Danio rerio: one gene and its partners. The protein of the gene in region 1 interacts with the protein of each later gene in a biochemical or structural test. Links are inferred from orthologs where the notes say so. Each region holds a gene or a part of one and is shown on either strand. Other genes may lie near its edges.

Region 1 (4,328 bases):
GAGTTTATTCATTTCAAGATTTTACAGAAAGGTTAATGAAATGTTCAGAAAAAAATACATAGAATGAACAGTTTGAGTGGTTTTGCTGAGAAATAAATTCTTTAAGAGTTAATGTCTTTGCCAATCCGCAGAGCTAAGCAGGTATTATGCTATATATATATATATATATATATATATATATATATATATATATATATATATATATATATATATATATATATATATATATATATATACACACACACACACACACACACACACACACATCAGTGCATTTATAATCTGATTGTGGATGGACTTTTTTTTAACACATACTGAAAAACTTGTTTTGTATATTAAGGGTATTGTCATATATGTCTCCCAGTGAGTATCAATGACTACGTTACATGGACATAATCAAATCATTTGCCTTAATCTGAATAAGACAATAATATGATTAGGGTGTTTACATGAGTTGCTTTTTAAATGCTCCTTTCATCCTGTTTTAGATGTTGTAGCACATAATTCGATTAACGTCACAGCGTCACCACCCTGTAAACACTTTATCTAGAGTTTCATGTAATTTCAGGTGTTTCATTTTTAATTTCTCAACTTTACCTGCATTTTGGCACTTTCACTTGGGAACATTTCATGCATGCCCCCTGTGATATACAAGATATTGGGTGCAAGTATGAACTGCCAAAAGTGTTTTTTATTGAAATTTGATACAGCGTGCCGTATGAGGAAAAAAGCCTCTGCATTTCGCAGTGTGTCTGTGGTCCTCCACTGACTTGGCAGGTGCAGAGAATACTGTCAAACAGCTGTGTGTATGTAGACTATCCTGTTTTAAAATGCAGCAAAGTCCTACATGTCGGTAATAGCTTGATTACAGTGTTTACATGTGTGTACTGCACTTCAATAATTCGACTAAAATTGGCATACTCCACAGGTCTTAATTTGAATTAGGTTTAGTTCGATTATGACTTTAGTCAGATTATACTAATCAAAAATCACTGTTTACAAGGTAGACTTTTAATCGGAGTATTGTCTTAATCGCATTAAAATCGGATTACTGGTGTCCATGTAAACATACTTTATCCTTCAGGAAAATACTTATATATTTTTTAAAATAATAAAAAAGTCTAAATTATTCTGCATGCTAATGCAAACTACATTCCAGCCATTTTTAACAGCAACATTTTGGTGATTATTATGGTGTGTTATATGATGCAAAAACCTTTTTGCAATTATAAATAATGAAAATGTGCAGGATAATTTATTAATGGCTGACGCATGATCCAAAAAATGCCTACTTGATAACCTAAACTGTTTTACTAGTCAAGTACCCAAACAGTGAAGAAAATCTTGCATTATTCACTCCATCTTACATAAACAAAGACATGCAACCTGCCTGTTGACAGCTGGCTCTATTAAGTAGGTCACAAATATTTTACCAAGGAGCAGACATAACTGACAAACCACGTGGGCAAAATATTTCACCCACACGGATGGGGATAATAAGAGCACAATATTAAGCCATAAGAAATAACCATAGAATAATACCCTGCAAAATAGCCCGAATACACACATCTCTGCGAAGTTTAAATGCACCTTAATGTAATTATACATTCATAAACTCAAAAGAATATCCCTTATTGTTTTGCAAAGAGCAGTTTACCTCCTCTAAACCCACAACCCATAGGAAACAGTGCCTTTTCAAAGCAATGACCGCTAAAATGAGGGGTTAGGCATGGGCTTTCTTGGAATTGAGAGCAATAAGCGTTGGGGGATGGGGTGGTACTTGTGACAAAGGCCCAAGTGGGCCGCTTATTCTCGCATATGGTGCACATAAGAAGCAAATGTACCTTGTCAGAGTTACCTGTACAGCAGGTACAAATCCTGTCAACAACCCCCAACGCATCGCATCATTCTGCCGCTCGCGCACCTGCACTTGAGAGTCAAAAACCGCGTGAGCCACTTAGCTCGCTGCAAAACACATTCATAAGATGAGTTATAGACAGCAATTGCACGCTTACTATAGAGGCAATCGTGGGATTTTAAAACGCTGGAGTTCGCAGTATAGCAAATCGATGCTAACAATGGAGAGGGTTACATAAACAGGTTGAGTGATCAGTGATCTAACCGGAGAGGCAAAACAATAACCGGGTACCTCACACCCCCACGAGTTGGATTCGGCATTTGATGCATTTTTTCCTAGCGTGAATCTTGAGATAGTTTTAAGACTGGGATTTGTGCAGATATGCGGGCACTCAGATTATCTTGCTATCTATCTAGGCTAGCGTTCTAGGAGTACGTTATGTTAGCTTGCCAAAAACGAAGCTTGTTAGCTTAGCGCAACCTTCGTGCAAATCATGAAGGAAGGATGAAAAATAACCCAAACCATATGACGGGAGAAGTGGCCAACTTTTCCGCAAGGATGAGTTGGTTTCTTTTATCCCCGGCTCGTGATGCGCGCATGGAGCGCATTGTCTCGCGCATGCCGTTAGCTGGCTCTTCCTAAAGTGGCCAGATGATATTTACAGGCAAATTGTTGCGCCTGGCTATCTGACTTGAGCGGTAAAAACTTGACTTTAGCTAACAGTGACACTGTTCTTGTGGACACGTTAGCTAGTTAGCATTAGCTAGGTACATAAGTATGCAGAACTCACCACATCCGATATTACTTGGCCTCTCCACGGTACTGAATACAGAAATACCTCGCGGGCAAAAGATAAACAACAAAAAGGTCAAATCAAACCGTTTCTGTAACTTTATCCCTGGAAGTGGCGGGAGCTCCGTGACTTTCCAGTGTGAGGGGAGGCTGGACGGTTGCCTGACCGGCTATTCCCTGTACCGTTAACAGTTCGGCAAGTATTCTTCAGTTCATGAGCGTAGAACCAACATGTGCAGAGTTTGAGTTGAGACTGTGCCACTATTCAAGATACAGGGGAATAACACAAACGCGTGTATGTATTTGAGAAGTCAGATGCTTTAACGCAATACATTACCGGATGGTAATGTTTTATATATATATTTAGTAGCATGTAATGATGTGTAATGATGAAAACCGTTCACAGAACTTGTCGAAAACGTTATTTCGACACTGATATCCCCTATCGACCTATACAATAGACGCGCCCTAAGCTTGGGTCGCGCTATCCACCATGGGAAAAGTAGTTTTTAGTGTATGAAATGTGCGTCAATTTGCTTTTGGGAAGAACATGGAATTTTATCGTCATCATCAACAACAAAAACAAGTTTCATCATCAACAGCAAGTTTTTAAGGTGAATTTATATGAACGCCTAAGGAAAATTACGTACTGTACAAATTAATTAAAAATGTTCTCAGCGCTTTGCATTCACTTTATAATTTGAAATGACTATCAAATTAATAGGAAAAGTTACACATTCAATTGTTTCAATTTGAATGAGCATCAATAGCAGCAAAACGCACAGCTTTGTCGTTGTGATTCCTTTTCAAAGCTTACAAAAGGATTTCTGGAAATATTAATAGTTCAGAAGAAGCTGACTACTTAAGACAGGGGTGTCCAAACTTTTTGGGCCGAGGGCCAGATGCAAAGAAAACAACGTTGTCGCGGGCCAAATTTTACACACATCACACAGACACGCATATATATATATATATATATATATATATATATATATATATATATATATATATATATATATATATATATATATATATATATATATATATATATATACAGTTGAAGGCAGAATTGTTAGCCCCCGTTTATTTTTTCCCCAATTTCTGTTTAACGGAGAGAAGATTTTTTTCCACACATTTCTAAACATATTAGTTTTAGTAACTCATTTCTAATAACTGATTTATTTTATCTTTGCCATGATGACAGTAAATAATATTTGACTAGATATTTTTAAGACACTTCTATACAGCTTAAAGTGACATTTAAAGGCTTAACTAGGTTAATCAAGTTACAAGTTAAGGTAATTAGGCAAGTTATTTTATTACAATGGTTTGTTCTGAAGACTTAAGGGGCTAATAATTTTGACCTTTATGAAATGGTTCATAAAAAAATTAAAACCGCTTTTATTCTAGCCGAAATACAACAAATAAGTCTTTCTCCAGAAGAAAAAAATATTATCAGACATACTTTGAAAATGTCCTTGCTCTGTTAAACATCATTTGGGAAATATTTAAAAAAGAAGAAATAAATCAAAGAGTGGCTAATAATTCAGACTTCAACTGTGTGTATATAGATAGATAGACAGACAGACAGACATAGATAGATAGATAGATAGATAGATAGATAGATAGATAGATAGATAGATAGATAGATAGATAGATAGATCATAACAAGAACTGC
Region 2 (4,083 bases), on another chromosome or scaffold:
TTAATCAGTGTAAGTTAAAAGTTTGAGTAAAAAAAAAAAGGTTTGTTTTGGTAATCTTCAATCAAACTCTGAGCATCTGCTTCTGTGTTTGGAGTGGTTGTCTTTCTGTTGATGCCAACCTGAGGGTTGCTATAGCAACTGCATATTAATGTTCCTAACCACGCCCCTCTTACTGTTAGTTTGCTACAAGGAAATGATGCACAAAAGGAAAGCCCCACCCCCTACTCAATATTCCGTTTCAGTTGGAAGCACATCAACATACTGAAGTCTCAGCAACTTCTGGTTCAGCCAGATTCAGTACACTTCAAAAGTCTGAAGAATAATCAAGCTATTTAAAAAATAATAAAATGCTTTTAATATCTTGAAATAATTAAAGTCTATTTGAATAATGAATTATATAAAATGATAAAAGTATTTATGTAACAAGTTAATGAATAAAATATAAATTACAACTGTTGTTTTGCATTTTAACTGCATTTTGTGCATTAAAAACTTACATTTAATAACACAACAAATACACATTTTTATAGTTTAATGTTGACTGATTTAGCGTTTTAATAATAGAAGTTACAAAATGAATCCTAATTAAATATAATTTATTATCAACTTCAGATTTTTGATTGACATCAAACTTTTAAAAGATCATAATAATTATAAAAAAATTGATGTAACAATTCAGTCAATTAAATATAACTAATAACTGTTTACATTTACATAACAACTAGTTACGTTTATAATATTCAACATCAAACATAATAATCGCAAAAAATAATACTAATTTTCATAGTCGAATATTCAATGTTTTAGCATTTTAACAGTTCTTGACAGTTCATAGTTACACGATAAATCATAATTATTTCAATAGAATTGATCAACTTGATTGACTTCAAATTCGGATCAATTCAAATTTATGAACAATTTAATAAATTAAATATAAATAACTCCATTTAAATAACAAGATGCATTTAAAACGTTTAACATTTATAATACGAACAACAATGAATAATACTAATTGTCAGTCTAATATTCATTGTTTCTTCTGAACATTTACAGAATTAAACATTCTGTAACTTCTGTTATTAAAACGTCAAACAAGCAAGACACAAACAGCGCTACAGAAAACACACGTTTCACATAAAGTTACACACTAAAACAGATGATAACGCATGAAGAAACTCCCAGAAATTCAATTCCTATAAATAATAAAGTCTCACCTCCAGTGGCTGAGCGTGATAATGTTCTGTGGGGTCACGAAGCTCTGCCGCCTCCTTCATCAGCCTCTTCACAGCTAACACACACACACACACACACACACACACACACACACACACACACACACACACACACACACACACACACAGTATTATTAGTTTACTAAATTTGAAAATTTGCCTAGTTTAACAAAAGCAGGGTTTATTGAACAGAGAATGGTCAGGCAAGCAACGATCAACACAAGGGCAAACAGATGTATACAGGCAGATCCAGAGTCATGCTCATATAACAGGCGGATGGTCAAAAGGCAGGCAGCAAACAACGTAAAACAAACAAAACAAAGCAAAGGTCAGACACGGAAGGCAAGGAAACCACGTCGTGATGTTCCCAATTCAGCATAACAAGACTCAGCCATGAGAGTGAACGTGTCAAGGCGAGACAGACGTGTGTGTGGTATAATCAGTACAAGAGCAGCTTCAGACTTTGAGCAGGTGTGTGTGTGTGGTGCATGACTGGAACTTGTAGTCCATGTAATGGTGGATGAGTGCATCTGAATGCAATGCTCAACACAGGTTGGAAATTTACTTGCGGTGGTGGCAGAATTGAAACACACCATTTACCTACAGCACATAAATAGTTAACTACAAACACACACATTTATTAAACACACACACACACACACACATTATATACACTCAGACACACATTACAAAGACACACATTACAAAGACACACACGCACACACACATTCATTAAACACAACCCCATTACAAACACACCCAATCATTACAAGCACTCATTTAAACACACACACACACACACATTACACTCAGACACACATTATAAAGACACACACAAACACACTCACTCAATACATACACTCATTTAAACACACACACACACACACTACACATACAAATGCATTACATACACACACATTACAAAGACACACACACACACACACACACACACACTACAAACACACACACTCACACACATGAAAAAGACACAAACACACACACACACGGAAAAGACACATGCATCAAAATGACAAGCATACACTACAAACACACACACACACACACACACACACACACACACACACACTACTAGCACACAAAATAAAAAGACACACACACAAACACACTACAAAGACACACATTAAAAACACACATAAATTACAAACACGCACACAATCAATCATTTATTACAAACTAATATTCATTACACACACACACACACGCACACACACCTGTGACTGCGGCTAGTAACGTAAGTCTACCGTTAGCTAGCTCGACACAGTGAAAAGACCGGCTGGACGGATGGATGAGTGCAGATGTTATGGTGTGGTTTATAGCTCGCGACAGCAGTGTGTGTGTGTGTGTGTGAGAGAGAGAGATAGAGATCAGAGGTTTGACTCACCTGGACTCTTCAGGTTGTATTTGCTCTCCATGATGCTCAATAATCCGGCGCTCGGCTGATCTGCGCTCCTGTGAGTGTGTGTTTATCCGCCGAGTGTGTGTTGTGTGAGCTCTGCCAGGTGTTTATCTAGAGCTGTAACCCTGACGTGGCAGCGCGCGCGGTGTGTGTGTGTGTGTTTTTACACACTTTCGAGATGAAATGTCTCAGATGTCACATGAAGAAAAAATGAAAACAGGAAGTAAACTTGTATTTTACAACGGAAAGCTTTATTGATGCGCCTGACAAGAACAACAGTGAGATTTGACGTCATGATTTTATGTTTTAAAAGTCTCCGTGAACCGGACGTTACTGAGACTTTTATTTCAGTATGTTGATGCGGGTTGACGTACTTCCAACTAGCTGTACGTATGCCCTGTGTAAAATGTTTAAATGTTGCTATATTTCTAAACAGCAATAAAAAATTATATATAAAAAACATATTTTAACTAAAACGAAATATTGAGTAGGGGCGGAAATGTTTTGTAGAAGGGATAACGTTATTTTTTTTTAAAAAGAATGGGATTGTTAGTAAATGTTGAACTATGGTTATAAATGCTGTATGTATTGTTCATTATTATAAATTTTCTCATTATTAGATTTTGTATACTTCCACTATGTGGTTTAGACTCAATATCAGTCCAAAAATATTAGTGGGGTATATGCACACGGACTTTTATTTTCAGTCAGCCAGCCTCAGGGCTTCCGGTTAATTGTCATCCCATACAAAATAAGATCTGATTTCTTTAAAAAAAATCAGTGATCTTCACTGCCTGGCTAAGATAGGATATAAAGTGGGTATCAGTCCAAGCAAGAAGCACTGCATTAAGTTATATTTCCCCCTGCCATGTCTTTAAAATATGGAAATTAATTTTACCTCAGTATTTTCAATGGAGTTTCTGCGCTCGCCTGCGGGTAATGATGGTGCCTGCGTTTAAACTGTCTTTCGTCTCTTTTTACGGTTTAACAACTAAATTAATGCTTTAGTCTATTGAACTGAATGCATTTTAATTACATTACAACATCAAGGCTGTAAAAGGAACCTTATGAAATTGAAAATAGTCACATAAAGATCTCACAGGAAGTTCATCATTGGCACTAGCTGTGCATAGAGCCGACAAATATTAAAGATTACATTTTTACATTAAAGCTATTTCGTGTTATAGTTACAGGATATGTATGCCTGCGAACACAAAGGGGGAAAAAACAGAATCTAAACAAAAATAATAAAATATGCAGGAATAAAACGGGAAATTGTCAAGAGAAGCTTTGTGAAGTCACGAATGGATGAACAAACTTTAATCTGTTTCTTGATTTAAGAAAAATTAAAGTCAACCCTGCTTATGCAACAGAATCAGATCAACCCGTTTAAGTGTTATAATAATAAATGTGAAATAAATTATGTGGAACGAA
Region 3 (4,109 bases), on another chromosome or scaffold:
AGTGCAAGATTAGGTTCAGCTGCAACTTTTTTTTTAACTGTTACTTACTGGTTTATTAATCAATTGTTGGGGCATTGCAGATCAAACGACTGAGAATTACACGTTAATAAACTTTCATTTTATTTGGAACATAATAAACAGCAGACGAAACATTCATATCATTACTTGAAGACAAATGATAATGTATATGTTCTAAAATCTGTTTAAAATTTCAAACATGTCTGATATCCTCTGACTAATCATAGCCTGGCGCAAAGGAAAAAAATAATCAATGTCAATAATATAAAATCTGGATCTTTTTTTTTTTTATTTTATTTTTTTTCCTCCAAACTAGCAATGACCCCTCTAGACTTAAAGACAAAGAGAAGAGAGATTTACTTGAACACTTTAACAGTTGTTCATGTGATCCTTCTTCTCATGTCTAGTTTGGTTAGTTCACAAAGTATTACTTTTAGCTTTCTCTCTTAATTCTAAATGTGAATCAATATTGAACTTAAGTGAAATACTTAAACTCTTTAACCCGATGTCTTTAAAAGGCTTTGCATGCTAATCAAATCCAGACAACTAAATTACAGCAGTACAGTCGATTACTGAACATTACTAACCCACTACTGCCTTAATGAATATAAACAAAGATCATCCAGATGCAAATGTTATGGAACTTTTAACTTCATAATAGGGCTGCACAATATATCGCTTTAGCATCGATTTCGCAATGTGATCATTTGCAATAGTCACATCGCATGATAGGCAATGATGAGTTTGTATTATAGTTCATCATGTGCATATGTTTTTGACGCCTGTGATTGTTTAATGTTTTTAAAAGCATTTGGGTATAAGAACTTGAACTATTTGTGACCTTATTGAATGGTTTTTATTTTTATCATTCAGTTACTGTACTTAAATACTGTTAGACCTGGGAAACAACAAACCCCTTTATTTGAATAACATCTTTGTCTTGACTGCATTTACAGATTGTCATGTATGAAAATACTCACAACATATGCAAATACAGAAATGCACTGCAAATAGCAAAGATCACAACAATTGTTTATTTATTTATTAATTTTAGATTTTATAGAGATGCACTCCCACTGCAGAGTCATTCCAGTTGATCTAAGATTAAAAATTGAGTTATTAAGTCATTGATAAAATTGTATTCATATTGCAATATATATATATATATATATATATATATATATATATATATATATATCGCAAAATAAAAAAATATATTTTTATATTTATTTTGGATAAATAACATTTGTATCCCCTTTCATTCATTCATCGTGTTATTTTAATTCCATGTTACACTATTATCTACTTATTTTTATATTAATAACATTCCTTTTTCTTAATAGTATGTCTATGTAAAATATTTTGGCAATATTATATGTAAAAACAGCAGAAAGAATACTTGTTGAATTACCTTGGGTGGATTAAATGGATACGTCTCAGGGATCTTGATTTCTAGTTGATATCTTCCCCCTGTGAGAAAAAAAAACGTTAGCCTGTTATAATCTTATCTCCAGCATTAATCTCCAAGCAAACATTAAAGAAACATCATGTAAAGGCTCTCATTACCTTCATATGGTGTGTCTGGCGGTCCTGCTATTTCTCCCTTTAACTCTGTGAAGTTTTCATCCACCAGATCTACTTTTATTTGATTTTTACTCGTCTGTTAAAAAGCAAAACAAAAATGTATTTAGTAAGGAGTACCATAGTTGCTTGAACAAAGAAACAACCGGTATAGTCAAGTTATGAAGCTGTCTTCTGAACATAATAAGCACCCTTAAAAGACAGTATGATATGAGTCTATGATTCCCAAAAATGCTGTCTGTCAAAGGTGCTGCATTACTTAAAAAAAGAACATCCTAGCTGCCCTGTTAACTGACACCAACACACACAAAAACGTAGGAACACGATCAGTAAACCACTAATGGGCATTTCAAAACAGAAAACCAACCTTAAAACACTGAGTGCGAGTGCTGTTATTGCAGACTATAGAAGTGTTGGTGAAGCTAGCCGGCTAACTATGTCAAATAGCTCCATGGCTTAAGCTCGATGTGTGCCAGCACAAATTTAACAATACTCTGACATGTTCATGAATGAATTAAACATTTAGGTCTATGTTTTCGTTTTATTACATCGAGAGAAGCAAATTTGTCAGAAGTGTGACTTCCGTATCTTAAGTCCATCATATGACAGCTCATGCTAACATTAGCTTAGCATGCTAGGCTAGCTCATTGGGTTTTGTGTGTTCATCGCCAAAAGTCCTTCTGTTTGTTCTTAACGGGCAGGAAAATATAGTAAAGTAGCGTTTTGCAAACCTCTTCGCTTTTCAGCACTTCTTTAAACTCTCGCTTGATCCTCTGCACAGCGATATTTGCCATGGCTGATTGATTCCTCTCTCTCTCACTCTTTCTCTCTCTCTCCTTCTCTCTTCCGCTGTTTTTGAGCCTCCAGTCCGCAAAGAATGATAGAGCTTCACTTTCACACCCCTCTTGCGCTCCTTCGCCCTCTCTCTCTCCCTCCCTCTCTCTCTCCTAAAACAGTACGGAAAGCACCAGAAAAGCACCGGTAAACAAAATAAGAGCCTGGAACACTAAAACACTGCACTACAGCACTGCGTTTGTCCTTCTTTGTTGAATCAGGTGGATGTGTTATGCAGCAGAAAAGCAGAGCTCAGTCTTGACAGATCCAGAATGCGTTCACATCTAGTTTCACTCCCATATGATGTGGTGCTGTCACATGATGTCGTGCTGCTAAAGCTCGGATGCATCTGTTTTACTCCCACGTGATGCGTTCAGAGCATACGGTCCATCATCACCCCTTTCACTGAATTTGCAAACAATTTAGGCCTACACTATTTAAACCAAGTATTAAATCACATGGGTCCTTTTTGATTATTCTAACAGGAACATGAAGATAAATCGTTTGTAGCATACAATATGTATTCACCACCATTATAATACCATGCTAAATCTGAGTTATTTTTATATATATACAACAGTTCTGTCAGGTCCTCGAATCTGATTGGCTGATAGCCGTGATATATTTAAGTAATATCAGCACCAGTACAGCCTCTTTACCTTTTGTGTATTACTCCGCCCACATACAGCCAGCAAAAAGCATATATATTAAAATTAACAAATAAAAAGTTTACACTATGGTGAATAATACAGTGTTTAAAAATAATACAATTGTTTGGTGTGTTGTATGCTATATATATATATATGTGTGTGTGTGTGTGTGTGTGTGTGTGTGTGTGTGTGTGTGTGTGTGTGTGTGTATATATATATATATATATATATATATATATATATATATATATATATATATATATATATATATATATATAAATCTATTAATAAGAACTTTTTTTCGTTTTTCACCTTTCATTTGATAAACAATTTGAAATTAAGTTAAATCAACCATGCTTGAAAAGTTGCATACCAGTTGTCAGTGTGGCAGGGAATGAACAGAGCTCTCTTCCACTTTCAGTACCCGAGACTGAGGTGCCCTTAAGGGTTAGTTCTACCAAAAAATCTGTTATAAGTAATTACTAACAGAATTTTTGGTAGAACTAACCTTTAACATCCTTGTGTTGTTACAACTCCCTGGGACCTTCAACTTCGGAATACAAATTGAGATATTTTATATGCTCAGTGTCAGTAGCTAGTAAGAGCTTGGGGTGACCTAAATCAGTCTAAGCTTGATGTTCTTTGCTGATTGCTCCCCACACATTCCTGTCTCAACTTCCACTATCCAATAAAAATGTGAAAAAAAACCTAAACAATGAAAAAAAAAAATATATTTTACATGACATCTAACACAACACATTTACAGCCTTTAAAGTCAGAAACCCAATCAACATACAAATGTTTTTCATTTCATGTTAATGTTTTAACATGCGGCATAATCTGACAGATGTTTGGTACACAAAAGTCTTCTTGGAGCTTTGTGTGACAGTTGTTTGTATCTCGTATCTGTGTGTGTTTGTGTTCACTTCTCATTGTGGTGATTATGTATTCCCTTGAATGGGTAAAATGTAATTCAACTTCAAAGTATGTGTGACCACATTTGGCCATCACATTATTCATACATCT

The links.
Region 2: the proteins of uba1 (region 1) and ube2j1 form a complex in vitro, tested with the Homo sapiens proteins (2 studies listed by BioGRID, with this or other methods). The link is inferred for Danio rerio from reciprocal best matches to the Homo sapiens genes UBA1 and UBE2J1.
Region 3: of the proteins of uba1 (region 1) and ube2kb, one has a biochemical effect on the other in vitro, tested with the Homo sapiens proteins (9 studies listed by BioGRID, with this or other methods). The link is inferred for Danio rerio from reciprocal best matches to the Homo sapiens genes UBA1 and UBE2K.

The regions. Positions count from the first base shown.
Region 1 is NC_133198.1:23,543,984-23,548,311, reverse strand, and holds the start of uba1 (ubiquitin-like modifier-activating enzyme 1), read right to left. Parts: upstream 2,865-4,328; 5' UTR 2,649-2,864; intron 1-2,648. UniProt on the Homo sapiens protein: Catalyzes the first step in ubiquitin conjugation to mark cellular proteins for degradation through the ubiquitin-proteasome system.
Region 2 is NC_133195.1:1,235,020-1,239,102, forward strand, and holds the start of ube2j1 (ubiquitin-conjugating enzyme E2 J1), read right to left. Parts: upstream 2,847-4,083; 5' UTR 2,666-2,846; coding exon 2,635-2,665; intron 1,289-2,634; coding exon 1,215-1,288; intron 1-1,214. UniProt on the Homo sapiens protein: Catalyzes the covalent attachment of ubiquitin to other proteins. Functions in the selective degradation of misfolded membrane proteins from the endoplasmic reticulum (ERAD) and is essential for cells to recover from ER stress.
Region 3 is NC_133176.1:24,896,329-24,900,437, reverse strand, and holds the start of ube2kb (ubiquitin-conjugating enzyme E2Kb (UBC1 homolog, yeast)), read right to left. Parts: upstream 2,847-4,109; 5' UTR 2,394-2,846; coding exon 2,331-2,393; intron 1,679-2,330; coding exon 1,585-1,678; intron 1,489-1,584; coding exon 1,430-1,488; intron 1-1,429. UniProt on the Homo sapiens protein: Accepts ubiquitin from the E1 complex and catalyzes its covalent attachment to other proteins. In vitro, in the presence or in the absence of BRCA1-BARD1 E3 ubiquitin-protein ligase complex, catalyzes the synthesis of 'Lys-48'-linked polyubiquitin chains.